Linked DNA regions of Notamacropus eugenii. The protein of the gene in region 2 purifies or fractionates together with the protein of the main gene of each other region. This does not show direct contact. Links are inferred from orthologs where the notes say so. Each region holds a gene or a part of one and is shown on either strand. Other genes may lie near its edges.

The links.
Region 1: the proteins of SYMPK (region 2) and CPSF3 fractionate together in Homo sapiens (co-fractionation; 6 studies listed by BioGRID and IntAct, with this or other methods). This does not show direct contact. The link is inferred for Notamacropus eugenii from reciprocal best matches to the Homo sapiens genes SYMPK and CPSF3.

The regions. Positions count from the first base shown.
Region 1 is NC_092872.1:549,754,399-549,762,366, reverse strand, and holds the start of CPSF3 (cleavage and polyadenylation specificity factor subunit 3), read left to right. Parts: upstream 1-4,871; 5' UTR 4,872-5,120; coding exon 5,121-5,170; intron 5,171-5,756; exon of another isoform or gene 5,757-5,891; intron 5,892-5,978; exon of another isoform or gene 5,979-6,095; intron 6,096-6,891; coding exon 6,892-6,955; intron 6,956-7,853; coding exon 7,854-7,951; intron 7,952-7,968. UniProt on the Homo sapiens protein: Component of the cleavage and polyadenylation specificity factor (CPSF) complex that plays a key role in pre-mRNA 3'-end formation, recognizing the AAUAAA signal sequence and interacting with poly(A) polymerase and other factors to bring about cleavage and poly(A) addition.
Region 2 is NC_092876.1:27,829,619-27,837,379, reverse strand, and holds the start of SYMPK (symplekin), read left to right. Parts: upstream 1-4,670; 5' UTR 4,671-4,764; coding exon 4,765-4,776; intron 4,777-7,403; exon of another isoform or gene 7,404-7,422; intron 7,423-7,761. UniProt on the Homo sapiens protein: Scaffold protein that functions as a component of a multimolecular complex involved in histone mRNA 3'-end processing. Specific component of the tight junction (TJ) plaque, but might not be an exclusively junctional component. May have a house-keeping rule.

The sequences.
Region 1 (7,968 bases), on a different chromosome or scaffold from region 2:
CTGGTGTCTAACCAAGCTCTAAGTGTTCCACATCGCCTGCCTCAGCTGCCTTCATGGCCACTGGAACAAACTGTTCTCATCTGCCCATTCCACCAGGGGAAGTCTTCACATGCTTGGAGTAGACACTTCCCTAAAACACCAATGGGTTTGAGACCCCTTGGTTACCCTCAACCTGGTTTGGCCCATCTGCTGAAACGGTTTACCAGGATATGGCCACTGTGTATGCTGAAGCTTCTTGGAGCCACAGGTGAGAGTTGGGTGGAACAGGTGAACACCAAAGTTGAAGAGTCCTGAAAAGGGCTTGGAAGTCATCACAACAAAGGTACTAGACCTCCCTGAACAAACCCTACACCCCACCTGGCACATAGTAGGCCCTTTATAACTGATAGCTATTACAAAAAGTCCTGATAAAAACTGATGAGGCCTTTAACTAGAATGATGGCCATATGAAAAGAGAGAAGGGAAGAGATGAGAAATGTTAAAAGGATTTGGCAATTGATTGGCTATTGAGGATAATTCCAAGGTTACAAAAATATCAGTACTTAAAAGGATTTCCCATTTTTCCACATCCCCTTCAATACTCGTCACTTTCTCCTATCATTTTAGCCAACCTCATAGGAGTGAGACAATACCCCAAAGTTGTTTTAATTTACATTTCTCTAATCAATAATAATTAAGGGCATTTTTTTATGTCTATATAAATGATGATTTCTTCATCAAAAAACTACCTGTTCACATCCTTTAACCATTTATCAATTGAAGAATGACTCACAATCTTATAAATTTGATAAAGTTCTCTATATATTTGAGATGAGGTCTTTACCTGATAAACTGCCTATAGAAATTTTCCCCCAATTTTCTGCTTTCCTTCTAATCTTGGTTACAATGATTTTATTTGTACAAAACCTTTTAAATGTAACAAAATAAAACTATTCAATTCACATTATCAAAATGCTATCTCTTGTTCATAATTCTTCTTTCTATAAGTCTTACAGGCATTATGTTCCCTGTTCTAATTTTCTTATGACATCTCCTTTTATATCAGGGTCTTGTATGCATTTTAGACCTTATCTTGGTAAATGTCAGAAGATATTTGTCTGCACCTAATTTTTGACAGACTGCTTTCTAGTTTTCTCAACAATTTTTACCAAATAGTGAATACTTATTCTAAAAGTTTAAATCTTTGCATTTGTCAAAACGCAAGGTTACTTTGATCATTCACTGAGTACTGCATGTCTGCTCTGTTGCACTCATCCACTTTTCCTAGTACAGGACAGTTCTGATTTATTGCTTTACTATATAGTTTATTACACAGTTTCAGATCAGGTATCATTAAGCCTCCTCCATGTTTTTCTTTTATTAATTCTTTGATATTCTTGAATTTTTGTTCTTCCCAATGAATTTTATTATTTTTTACAGCTCAACACAATAATTTTCTGGTAATTTAATTGAAATGGCATTGCATAAGTAGATTAATTTGGGTAGGATTGTCATGTTTATTATACTGGCTCTGTCCACCCAGGAGCAATTAATATTTTTCCAATCATTTAAATCTGACTTTATTTGTATAAAAACTGTTTTATGCTTTTGCTCATGTACTTTTGGGGTTTTTCTTGGTAGATATACTCCCAGGTGTTTTGTACTGTCTACAATTTCTTTAAGTGGGGTATCTATTCTTGCACTTTTTGTTGATGATATAAAGAAATTCTGATGATGTACGTGGGTTTATTTTAAATCTTGCTACTTTGCTAAAATCAATAATTATTCCAACTAACTTTTTAATTGAATTGCTAGGATTTTCCAAGTATATCATCCTTTCATCTTTAAAAACAGCTTTATTTCATTGCTCATTCTGATTCCTTCAACTTCTTTTATTCCTCTAAATGCTCTTTACTAGCATTTCTAATATAATACTGAATAATACTGGTGATAATGGGCATCGTTGTTTCACTCCTGATCTTACTGAGAAGGCTTTTAGCTTACCCAGATTAAAAATGATGCTTACTGATGGTTTTAGGTAATACTTCTTACCATTTTAAGGAAAAAATCCACTTATACCTATGCTTTCAAGTGTTTTCAATAGGAATGAGTGTGGCATTTTGTCAAAAGCTTTTTCAGCAAATACAGATATAATTATATTCTTTTTGTCACTTTTGTTATTGACATAATCAATTATATTAATAGTTTTCCTTATGTTAAACTATCCCTACATTCCCAGTACAAATCCCATTTGGTCACCATGTACAGTTTTTTTTTTTTTAACACTTCTATTGAGGGAGGGCAAAGGAGATGCATATAACTGGTGGATGTGGGTTACATAAAAACAAAATATATCAATAAAATTTTATTTTTTTAAAGAGTTTTTCTTTAATAGTAGTAATTAGATTCATGGGATTTTGGGGGGGGTCACTTTTGGACTTTTTGATGTACTTTGTGTTTATATTACATATATTTACAATTTACTCTCACGTCATGAGAAGTCTCTCAGAACATGGTAAAACAGTTAAGTAAAACCAATGATACAATGACATTTGAAAGTACATGTAACATTTCACTTCTGAATCATCCTCCTTTTTTTAGATGAACACAAATCTACTTTTTCTCTTTACCATGGGTCCACCCCATTGGGGAGAGAAAGGAAATTTAAAAAAAATAGAAACGAAAGGGATCTTAGAAATTGTTTAGTTCAATCCTCTCATTTGACAAAGGAAGAAATTAAGGCCAAGAGAAATGAAATGATTTGTCCCAAAGTTACACAACTATTATGTAATAAGATTAGAGGTGGTGTGTACCTAGGCAGACCCCACTGGCCATTACAACAAACCAGTTTGGGGCAAGAATTAGGAAATATGCCCTCAGGGGAAGGTAGTGCTGGTGATGACTTTTAGCTCGGTTAAAAATAAAGAAGGGAAATTAAATAAGCTAACTGAGAGGTAGGGAAGATGTGCTCCTGGCTTTTGTCTCACTCAGATACCCCTCCCCTTTGTTCCCCATAACCAGGAACCAGAGACTCTTGAAACACCGAAATGAATCTGGAGAATCTACCCTATGAGATTCCAACAGCAGACTACGAAGGAAAACATGATAAAAGTGCACAATCCAACAAAACAATTCGGAATGATAGGTCAAGTGATGTTTATCCAGAGATCATAGCTGCAAGGAAGTCACTAAGAATAGGGTAAACACAAATCCTCGGCAAAGAAACAAAGCTATACAGAGAAGGCTACAGAATAGTACCTTCATAGACACAGTTATAGGACACGTTGTAAAACAAAGTCTCTTCCCCTACTCCTGTGAAAATTTTTTAAATAATCATTTTCTTGGATACTCATAGCCTTCCTCAGCCCCTTCTTCCTGTACACCCCAAAACCCAACACCAGGATTTGTTCTAAGAAAGAGACAAATGATTAGGTCCGGTCTTTCACAACCTAGCATCATGTATAATCTTTGTGATATGTTGTTGTAATCCCCTGGCTAATATTTTATTTAGAATTTTTGCATTCATATTCATTAAAGAAATTGATCTACAATTTTCTTTTTCTGTTTTAGCTCTTCTTGGTTTAGATATTGGCACCATATTAGTTTCCTAAAAGGAGTTTGCTAGGACTCCTCTGTTATTCCAAATAGCTCATTTAATACTTGAATTATTTGATGTTTAAATGTTTGGTAGAATTCACTTGTAAATCCATCTGGTCATGATGCTTTATTCTTACAAAGCTCCTTCATGGCCCGTTCAATTTTTTTCTGACTCTCAAAGTTCACTTGGAGGCCTTATTTTAAATTGTGGGTGAATCTGGTGCCGTATTCTACCATCTTCACGAACCCTCTTCCCTTCAGCCTGGCTTGCCTTCCACCGGAGAAGAGCCCAAGTCCGAAGCGGACAACTTACACAACAGCTGTCTCCGTCTGACACACCAAGGTACCTTTCAACGCACACGATTTAAAAGAGAAACAGAACGCAGCGGGGAAGACGCCTGAGCCCCTGACGCCACCACCACATTCGGGGTGGATGCGGACGCCCTGCGTGGCCTCCTCGAGCCGGGGGAGGGCAAGGACGGCCGGCGGGCACGCTCGGTCCGTGCAGGCTGGGCGGCGGACCCGAGGGTGTACGGCCCCTCCCCCCGGCGGGCCCTCACATCCCCGAGAAGGCCCTAGCAGTGATCATTAGCGTTTCCTCCAGGTTCTCACCGCCCCCCCCAGCACACAGAACCCTCGGGCACCCCCTTCTCACCCTGAGCCCCAGCCACGGAGGCCCTGAGGATCAGGGAAGACACGCGGCTCCTAGGTTCCAGTGCCAGCTCGGCTACTTAACACGGGGGGGGGGGGCTTTCTCCCCAAGAGCCTCAGTTTCCTTCTCTGTAAAAATGAGAGGGCGGGGCGGGCCGGCTCTCGGGAGGTCTCTCCCGGCTCGGAGTCCGGCGGCCACCGCCCAGATCCACGGAAGAGGGCGGTACCAATTCTCCTTCGCCCCCCTCTCCTCATCCCTCCATCGCTCCCCACCTTTGTTCCTGGTCGCTATAGCAACCAGAGGCCTACCTAACCCTCCCCCACGCGGAGACCAGCTTCGGAATCACGATTCCAAGCCGACGGAGGCTGGCGTGTGGCTGCGGCGCTGGAGGCGGGAAACCGAAGGCCCGCGCCGAGGTGCAACGGAGAAACAGAGAGAGAACAGCGCAACGGGGAGGAATGGGGAGAGGGTCCTCACCTACGGCCACCGCTAAGGGTGGAGGCTCCGGGATGGAACTGTTTTCCGTCTCAGTCCAGAAGCCGGAGGCAGCCACTCCCACTCCGCTTTTTTTTCTTTCCCTTTCCTTCCTTCCTCTCATCTCACCCCTCCCCCGACTCCGTCACCATCCCCACCGCGCAGGCGCAGAACTCCTTTCCCAGCCCCGCCCCGCGCGTTGCCCGGCTTGAAAGGAAGCAGCCAAACCTCGTGGGTCTGGCCCGCACCGGAAGTAAAGTCCTGAGCGTCTTCGCGCCGAGACCGGCGACGCCGGAAGTGGTGGTCGCAGTGCCGTGGGAGCAGCGGGGGTGGGCGTTTTTGCGCTGTCGCCGCTTTGTGGTGGTGGTCGCGGCTCGTCGGGCCCCCTCTCTCCTCATCCCTTTCCCTGCCCCCAGAGATGTCGGCCATCCCGGCCGAGGAGAGCGACCAGCTACTGATCCGACCTCTGTAAGGAGCCCTGGGGAGGGAGAAGCTGCGCGCAGCCGAGCCCGGGGAGGGGGGCGGGGGAGGCCTCGGGGAAGGCCGCGGGGGCTCCTGAGGCGGGGCCTCCCAGCCCCACACTCTGCCCGCGCCTGTGGGCTCGGCCTCATTCACCTGCGGATCTCTACCACTTCCTTAAAAGCCACTTTGCTCAGGAATCCCTCCCTGATCCCTTCCGTGGCCACCGCTGGTGGCAGGGCCTTTTCCCTCAAACTTGCCTTGACACTATTTTGCGTGGCTCTGCGCCGCAAGATCCCTTTGTGTTCATTGTCATCCCCACCCCTCGTCCGACTGAGCTCTGAGGGCCTCTCTGTCCTGTCTCCCCTGCGGGCAGGAGGGTTTGCCTTGTGTGATCCACGAGTGAACCGGGGACTAAAAGACATGGTGGCCAAAGACCTCCCCCCCCCCCCCGCCGAGTTGGCCGAGCTGGAGTTTCCTTCCACGTGAAGGCGAGGGGTTCTGACTCCGCGCCTCTCACAGGGTCGGTTTCTTTTTGAGAATCCAGAGGAAGAATTTATACGGAAAGAACTGTAAACATCCGAGCAATTATTACCTGACAAGTGCTGGTTAAGTTTCTGTTCGGTATTGAGTACCTTGTCTTTCGTTAGGAGTCCTTGCCTTCCCCAGAGACATGTAAACAGAAGGCAATTGTTTGTGATCTGGTATGTGTGAGGCACGGTGCTAGACTGGCTCTGCCCGTAGGGAAGTTGGATTATAATTAGAGAAATCATGCATCTATACATAAGTCTGATGCTAGGTAAAATATGCCATGTAGGAAGGAAATATCCAGACAGAGTACTAGAAGAAATCGGAGGAAGGTGAAATCTCGTCCAGGTGGAAGGAGGAAAGTAACGCACCAGGAAAACCTGAGTTAAAATGTAGCATCACTCAGGTAATAGCTGTGTGACCCTGAGCATTTCATTTAATTTCTTTCTGCCTCAGTTTCCTCATCTCTAAAATGTGGATGACAATAGCACCAGCTACCTCACAGTGTTATGAGAATAAGATAATATTTGCAAACCCTATAGGCCTATATAAATGCCAGATATTATTATAGGTTGGTGACACCCAAATTTGGCCTTAAAGAAAGGGAGAGATTTCAGCAGGCGCATTTTGATGGCAGTCAGTTTCAGATGTGCAGAAAAAACATAAAGAAGGGAAAAGGTAGGATGAAAAGGCTTCCTGTAAGTGAGATTTTATCTGGTACTTGGAAGCAGAGATAAAGAGGGAGAGCATTTCCTTGCATGAAGAACAGCTAGTGAAAATTCCAAGTCTAGTGTGTTTTGTTCAAGGAACAGAAAGTATTACAGTGTCACTGGATCAAAGGATATCTGGTGCTAGGAGTGGACTGAGTGTTAGGTGTAAGAAGGCTAGAACTGATGATCTAAACAGCAAAAGTGGAGGGATTAGTATTGGAATAAAGGAAGGCTTCATTATATTTTGAGACTGAAGGCAAGGAGTTGAAGTTTAGAGAAGTGGAGAAGTCACATTCTTAGACTCACAGTTTTGGAGCTGGAAATGACCAAAGAGGTTAGCTAATCCTGCCTCGTTTTTTGCAGATGAGGAAACTGAAACCCAGAGAGAAAGCATAGTTTGATTTATTAGTGTAGTTTTGTGCTGCTTTTAACATTTTGCCTTAATACATTTGCACAGATGTTTATGTTTGTTTCTTGTTATTTTTTTTACAGTGGGGCTGGACAAGAAGTAGGAAGATCATGTATTATTCTGGAGTTCAAAGGAAGAAAAATAATGGTAATCATTGTAAAGTATACATATGTGTATATACATATATATACATACACATATGTAGTATAAATCTGTTAATATGTAAAACAGTCATTTTTATTTTTTGTAAAAGCATTAACATAATTTTGGGAATATCCTACTCATAAATGCAATAAATTATGTTTACCTAGATCTGCCAACCAATTATCTTTTTTATAATAAATTCTAAAGAGGTTGTCAGTTCTGCTTCTGTGGGTTGGAATTATGTGCAAAGGTTCCAAACAGGATTCTAGACATTTGGTGAAAAAATACATTAAAAGATAGACAGTGTGACTAAGCCAACCTTCCTCTCCAACCAAGAGAAGTTGGTAGATTATACAAAGTTAGTGTCTAACCTGAATGCATGAAACAAAGCCTTAGCTCCTTTATTCTGCCTCACCTCCAAGAGAAACATTGTAGACTTAACTGGTTTTTTTAATGGGTTATGGGTAGATCCTCATTGACGAAAGATCAGAAATTCAGACTGATGTCTAATGTCCATGAAGAAAATTTTTACCAAATTATCCTCAGATTCTTTGGAAGGGTTCATTTGCTATTCTGTTAATGAGACATTTGGGAAGAGTAGGTTCAGGGTCCACCTTTGATACTTCCTGTGTCACCACGAACAAGTTACTTAGTTTCTTAGTGCTTACTTGAGTACTTACATTTTTTCACTCTGTCATCATAAATGTCTTACAAACAGCTAGCTTTGCATTTATTTTAAGAAGTCAGTATTAAATAGATGAGTAGAATCTGTCACCATTATATTTTGTCCATATTAAACATGACAAATTAATGTCAACTTAAACATTTTTTTCCATAGACACATTTGTACTATATATTATTCAAAGATATTTTAATGAATTTTTTCCCAATTCTTTCACAGTTGGATTGTGGAATTCATCCTGGCTTAGAAGGAATGGATGCCCTTCCGTACATCGATTTGATAGATCCTGCTGAGATTGATCTCCTCTTAATTAGTCAGTAAGTCTTATCTTGAA
Region 2 (7,761 bases):
AGGACTGATAGATGTACTGTGTTGGTGGAATCAGCAAGGCAAAGTATCTGATTAAATGTGGACAGTAAGAGTTGGGAAGTGGAGATTAATTTGATTCAATGAGTCTAGGGACTTTTAAGACAAGTCGAGGAACTATAAATATTCTCCACTCATACAGCCTCTGTCCCATTTCAGGCTTTCGATACCTCTTGCATAGATTATTGTAATGGCCTCCTAATTAGTCTCCCTGCCTCTAAACTTTTTCTTCTCTTTTGTTTCTCTTTCATCCTCCACACAGATGCCAAAATGATATTACTAAAACATAGGTCCGACCATGTAATTCTCAATCAGAAATCTTCAGTCGATCCCCGTTTGTTCTCCTCAGCCTGGCATTCATTGCCCTTCAAAATCTGTCTCCTACCTACCTTTGCAGTATTATTTCATATTATGTCCCTTCATTCATTCTCCTTTCCAGTCAATGGGCCACTAGCTGTTTCCCATATTTAAGTTAATATGGTTTATTGAAGATATAATTTTTCCACAGAAGACTCATTTAGTTGCATGGCAGAAATTTTTGTATGTTGTTTCATCATTAGCATTGCTTTTCTCATTATTCTTTCTGATTTCTTCTTTGACTCACCCATTCATTATCATGTCTCTAGTGAATTCCGTATCTATTGTTCATGATTCCCAAACTGATAATTATTTTTTATTGTGCTATGATCTGTAAAGGATGTGTTTACTATTTCTATCTTTTCCCATTTATTTACACTATTACACTTCCTTAATATAGTCAATTTTTGTACAAATTTCTTGTGGTGTTGAGATATATGGATTTTCTTTAGCCGTCACTTTCAGAAGATGCCATATCTTTCGGCTTTAATTTTTCTGGAAATTTGTTTAATTCTATAAATTTTTTTCATTTTTCTATGTAATATTTATCCAAATACCAGAGACTTTAAGGTCTCACCATTGCTGTGTTACTATCTAAATCTTCTTACAATTTAGTTAACTTTTCCTTTGTGAGGTTAGATGCTATACCATTTGCTACATGTCAGTTTAAAACTGAGGTTGGTTTGTTGTCTGTGGTTCCTATAGCATAATGTACCTTGCTTTTTTATCTCTATATATATTGTGGATTTTTGTTTTTCCTTTATCTGAGCAACTCCTTCTTTTTGGATTCACCAATTCATAGTAAACTTTGTTTCAGCCTCTACATATTCTGCATGTCTTTGCTTTAGACATGTTTCTTATGAACAACAGATTGCGGTGCTCTGTTATCCAATCTGTTACTCTTTCATTTTATTGGATTGTTTAGTCTGTCTACATTTAAAGTTATAAAAGATTTTCTGTTTTCTTCCATTTGTGTTTCTAGTATTTTTTTTTCCAAAATTAGATTTTTTTTTTTTGTCCCATACATCATATTCCATCTTCCACCTCCATACCTTTGCAAAAGCTGTCCTCTGTGACTGGAAATCCCATGTTTCCTTCAAGTCACAGTTCAGGGGCTACCTCCTACATAAGGTGCCTGATCTCTCTGGTTATCAACATTCTCTTCCTCTTGAAATGACTTTGTGTCTTTTACTTATTTGTATGTATATCACTCCTCTTTACCCCAAGTAGAACACAAACTACTTGAGAGAATCGTTTAACTTTTGTCACTGTGTCCCTGGTGCCTAGCACAGTAGGTGCTGACATAGTGGGTGCTTATAAATGTTGAATTACATGGAAAAACTGGGATAGGTACTCAGAGACAGAGATGAGGAAATTGGAGACAGATATATGACATCAGAGACAGAGATGTGGGCTTAGGGTCAGTGACGGGGCTCAGAACTCACAGACATGAGTTCATAGAACTAGAAATCCAGAGATAGGAAGGAGTTCTCAGACACAGAGACAGAAACAAGGGTTTGAAGACAAAGGAGGAAACTTGAGGATGGGGTGGAATCTTAGATATGGTGATGGGGGCAGAGAGATAGGAATTTCAGTGCCAGAAATTGGGAGTCTGCAGTAAGAGATTCAGAGATGGGGGTTGGGACTCAGAAACAGGGATATCACAGACAGCAATGGAAATTCAGAGACAGAGATGAAAGTCCAGATATGGGAATGGGGACTCTGAAGTGAGGATGGGGGTTCAGTTATGGAAACTAGTCCTTGGAAGCAAGGATGAGGATCAGAGTTGGGAGCATGAAGTCAGAGGCAGAGATGTCGAGTTCCTAGACAGGCACTGGAGCAGAGGTTGAGATGGGTTTGAGTCAAAATAATTTAAGACATGATCAGTAGTGGTCTGGTAAATTTCTGGATACAGCCTCAGAGGAAAGAATCAGGATCCAGGTATGGGAATAAAGGATCAGAGATGGGGATGGAGCTGAGAAAGTGACTCAGGCTCAGAAACTCAAAGGGAGACTTTCATATTGGCCTTATAATTAGTCTCTTCTAATGCATCCTCCATAGTGGTACAATCCTAAAGCACAGATTTGCCTAGGCTCCTCCTCTACTCAAGAATCTTCCATGGCTCTCTCTTACTTCTAAGAAAGCAAAACACACTCCTTAGCTCAGCACATTCACAATCTAACTGCAACCCACCTTTCCAGATATTTTTTCACATTACTCCATTCCAGTTACAATCACCTAGCTCTTTCCCCTCTCACTTCTGGGGTCTTTGCTCAGAGTATGCCATGTTCCTGGTGCACTGTGTGCCATGCCTAGAATACACTACCTCTGCACCTACATAAATTCCTAAGTTACTGACTCTAGGCAAGTCACTTCACCTCTGATTGTCTCACCTGTAAAATAAGAATAACAAAAGCACTTTCCTTGCAAGATTGTTGGGAGACTCAAATATTTGTAAAGTACATAGCAGAGTGCCGGGCATACAGTAGTTGCTGAATAAATGATTATTCCCCTTCCCTTCTCCCTTCAAGGCTCAGCTGCTAGGTGGCCTCCTACAGAATGCTTTTCTTGGCTCCTCCTTCCCAAAGTTTGCCCTCCCACCATCCTCAAAGAATATTTTGGGGTCTGGGCTAGTGACTTCCTCTAGGCAGAGAACTCCTGGTCCTTAATACAGAATGACTCACCTGTAAATTTTATTCTTGTATTTCCTGGGCACCGACTGGTTAAGCACTTGCCTTTAGTGATGAGGCTAGTATATATGTCAGAGACTGGAACCTCAGTATTCCTGATTGCAAAGGTGGGGGTGCCATCCCTCATCTCCCTCCAAACACATAATCATGGGAAATAGCTGAGCTTCCCAAAGCCCCTTTTCTCTCATTTGATCCTTCTAGCCTCCCTTTGGTATAGGTCCCATTTTACAGATGAGGAAACTCAAGATGAGAGGTTAGGGGACTTGTCAAAGGTCACCCCACCAGGAAGCGTGTGAGGAGGGACGTGGACCCACACCTTCCCAATGTCCCCTGGTGGTCTCTCTTAGAATGGAAGCTTCTGGAGGGCAGAGACCGTCATTCTCTCTGTATCTACGTGGGGCTGGTGAGTTAGGGGGTGTGAAGACTTCCCCAAGGCAATGAGTGGATGGGCACCATCCGTTCCAAGGCCATGAAGTCCAGCTCCTGAAGCAGGGGCTGGAAGGCCCCGAGGTCATGCACGGCCTCCCCAGCTTTCCCCAGTCCTGGGGACTCTTGACTCCCTGCGCTTCGCTGACTCTGGAGGAGGGAGGGGAGCCCCTCACTGGGGGCAGCCGGGCCTCGCTGGCCAGCCCAGACCAGAGACGTGCATACGGAGAGCATGGGACCCGGAGTGGGGAAGGCTTGGGTTCAGATTCAGCCACAGACCCGCACCAGCCCCCCGAACCCTAGCAAACCATGTCTCCTCGGGCTGCCTCAGTTTCTTCCACTGTAAAACGGGGCTAAGAGCACAACGCCTCACTGCACTTAGCACAGAGCCCGCGGGCACACAGCAGGCACTTGGTAAAGCTCGCTCCCTCCCCTCCCCCTCCCCCGCAGGAAGCAGCCTGGTACCCAGGTCCTGGATTCCAACACTGCGTCTGCTGCCTGCTCCCTGCAACACCTCCTCTGTATCACCAGGAGGCGCTGGAGCAGCTGGGTCTCAGGGCTTCCCCCGCTCCCAGCACCCGTGTTCACAGAACTTGGGGGCGGGGAGAGATAAAACAGAAAATCACTGGGGGTGGCAGGAACAGCAGAGGCTGGCCAGCAGGTGGTGGCCTCCAGCGAGTGCTCTCCTGGAAGGGGGGACCCCGGGCCATGGACAAGGCCTAAGCAGGGCGTCTGGCGCTCGTGACTCGGAGGGGGCTGGAGCGCGCAGGGAAGGGGTCTCCAGCGGCCCTGGGGGGTCATCCGGCTGGACGCAGCGCCCCGGCCTGTGCAGGACCCGCGACAGCGTCCCGCCTCGCAGCCCGGCCCAGGCCCGGAAGACTCCACTCCCTTCCGCCTCCCATTCCGCTCCACGCTGCTCTCTGCGACCACGAGGAGAGCAGGAGCGCCACCCCCCGGATCTCTCCCTCCCCGGCGCCCTCCTTCCGGAGAACCCACGGAGCGCGGAGAACTCCAATTCCCACAATCCTCAGAGACGCCTCCGGGGCTCCGCGGTGCAATGGCTCTGTTTTCGTAGAGTCTCCTTCCGGCCTTGGGGCATCGGGGCGAGTCTCCCTGGGCGGGGAGGCTACTCTGGACTCCATTTCCCGGCGTCCCTAGCCCTCTCACTGCCTCTGCTTCCTCCTTGGGGGCGCGCACCCTTCCGAAAACTCCATTTCCCGGCGGGCCTCGCAGAGGCCACGCTTGCGCAGAAGGGGCATCGGCAGTCGGCCCGAAGATGGCGACGGCTGTGAGGAGGAGACGCTGCCGAGGGCGGCGTGAGGGGGAAGGAGGAAGAGAGAGGGAAAAGAGGACAGGGGGCGACGAGGGAGAATAGAAGAGGATGGGAGGAGGGCGGCCTCCGCAGGACTCGGACCCCCAGGGGAAAGGAAACCATGATGGGGTGGGGGCAGGGGCGCAGAACCTTGTGGAGGAGCTGCTCATTGGGAAGAGGGGAGCAATGGGCGAGACCATCGTGCGTAGGGGGAGACAGGGACAGTACACTGCGAGGTTGGGGTAGTATGTGTGCGTGGGCACTCTGAGGAGGCTAGAACCCTGGGCAGGTAGAAACAACTAGAGAGAGGGGCGCGATGGGCGAGACCATCGTGCGCGGGGGGGGGGGGGGGCCGGAACGTGAGTGAGCCCCGAAGAGGGACCGTGGAGGTGGAGCCTTTCATGGGGACAGAACATGGGGAAGGGGGCAAGGAAGAGGGGTGTATGAACCCTGAAGACAGATCATGGGGGTGGGGGAGAACCCCAGGGTGAGGGAGGCCACTGGGGAGAATGGGGGGGGGGAAGAACCCTGGGGAGGTAGAGACCATGGAGGAGAATGGGGAGAGAGGAGAACCTTGGGAAGGTAGAGACCATTGGGAAAAATTGGGGGGGAGAACCTTGGGGAGGTAGAGACCATTGGGGATAATGGGGGGGAAGAAGAGAACCTTGGGGTGGTAGAGACCATTGGGGAAAATTGAGGGGGGAAGAGAATCTTACAGAGGTAAAGACCATGGAGTAGAATGGGGGGAGAGGAGAACCTTGGGAAGGTAGAGACCATTGGGGAAAATTGGGGGGGAGACTTTGGGGAGGTAGAGACCATTGGGCAGAATGGGGGGGAAGAGAAACCTAGGGAGGTAAAGACCATGGAGGAGAATGGGGGGGAGAACCCTAGGGAGTAGAGAGAAGGGGAGGGGAGAAGAGACCTCTGAGGAGGTAGAAACCACTGGGGAGAATAGGGGGAGCAGGGAGGATGAGGAGCAAGTGTGAATCTTGAGACTGTTACAGAGGCTTGGGGGCCAGAAAGGAAACCCTGGACTGGTAGAGACCATTAGGCAGAAAACTTTGGGCAGAGTAGGAGGAGGATGGGAGAGAGGGTGAGTGGGGATAGCTCTGGGGCTGCAGGTGCTGCTGGGGAGGTTGATGGGACACATTGGGATTGAGGACGGAGGGAGATGGAGGGAGGAACTGTTTAGCTTGTTGGACTGTCCTAGAGCCCAGTGGAGGAGGAGCGTTGTGGGGGTAACCGGTGGGGTGGGGTGTAGGGAATTTAAGGACTGGGAAAGAAATGGTGAGGTGCTGGGGCAAGGAGCATTAGAGACCCTTGTGGGAGGAGGGAAACTATCCTGGAAGGGGAAAGGGAAGGACATTTTTGTAGCTATCAGTGGGGAGGGCAAGAGAGCACATTTTGTCTGACTCTTTGTAGTGTGACCTTGGGCAAGTCACTTAATCTCCCTCAGCCTTACTTTTATCATTTATGAACCGGGGATCATAGTGCCCATAGCACCTACCTCACAGGGTTGTTGGGAGGACCAAATGAGAAAATGTAGGTGAAGCGCTTTCACACGCTTTAGATGTCAGCTGTTACTAGATTTGGGAAGGAGGGAGACACTAGTGGAAGGAAGGAGAAGAGAGAGCATTGGAAGGGGAGAAGGGAGGAGAGAGCATTGGAAGGGGAGAAGGGAGGAGAGAACATTGGAGGGGGAGAAGGGAGGAGAGAACATTGGAGGGGGAGGGGGGGAGAGATGAAGAATAAGGAAGTCTCATGGATGGGCCTAGATTGCATTCTCAAGGGGAGGAGATATCTTGACTGAGGGAGGTGGGAGGAACCTCTTGTGAAATGGGGGGGGAAGGGTGGGGGGGGTGAACTAAATTCAGTCAGCAGCTGTTCAGTGCCCACTGTTAGGGATCACAAAGATGAACAAAAGCCTGTTCTAAAGGGAACTTAGTGTGATAAGCGACAAGCAGGTCAATAGCAACTAAGTGTTTAAGAGAGGACAGGGTGATCTCAGAGGTCCCTTTTCAGTTCTCTCACATTCTGTAAGACCTTCGAGTACTATATAAACGTGAGCAGCTGTTATTCTGAGGGACCTTAGGTCTCTGGAGTGGAGGTTCTGAGGGTTCTTCCAGTTTGGAGGGCCAGAGGACAGGCGAGGCTGGTCTTGCCTAGCAGACTGTTCTCATGGATAGGAGAAGGGCTGGGATGGAGCTGTCTGCTGTTCCCAAAACTGTGGAGGAGGGGAACAAGTGAGATCATCCATTTTATCTCAAGGCCCTGGCTTGGCCATGGACCTTCGATTTATCCTCTGAATCCCAGGGGACTGAGAGGTTCCCCCAGAAGCCCAAAGTAGAAAAGTTGAGGCAGTTCCAGACTGAGCTCATAGGGGAGATCTCAAGGAACTAGACCCCTGGGCCTCAGTCAGGCAGCCCATTCTGGAAACTTCGATGAGGACATATATTCCTAGATTCATGTAATCCCTGGAATTATCTGGTCCAGCTCTTACAAGAGACATCATAGAATAGTGGGAAGCGTCCTGGATTTGGGATCTGAGTGCTTGGTTTGAATCCTGGCTCAAGCACTTAGTGCTTGGTACAGAGGAAAATCCGAGTTCAAATTTAGCCTCAGGTATCTTCCTAACTGTGACCCTAGGCAAGTCACTTTACCTCTGTTTTGCCTCAGTTTCTTCACCTGTAAAATGGGAGTGATAACAGCACCCACCCCCCCCATGAGAATCAGATGAGACATTTATGCAAAGTTCTTCGGCACATAGCAAGTTCTACAGAGGCTTTTCTTGTCCCTGCCCTGGACCTCTCCCTTGTCCCAGGATGTTTCCATCTTACCCCTCCCAGGACAGCTGACCTCAGGATAGGACAACCAGGATTCACATACTAAGACTGACTCTAGTCGGTCCCATGATTTCTCAGTGCCCTGTGGCACTCTAAAAGAGGAGTTGCCAAGAAAATG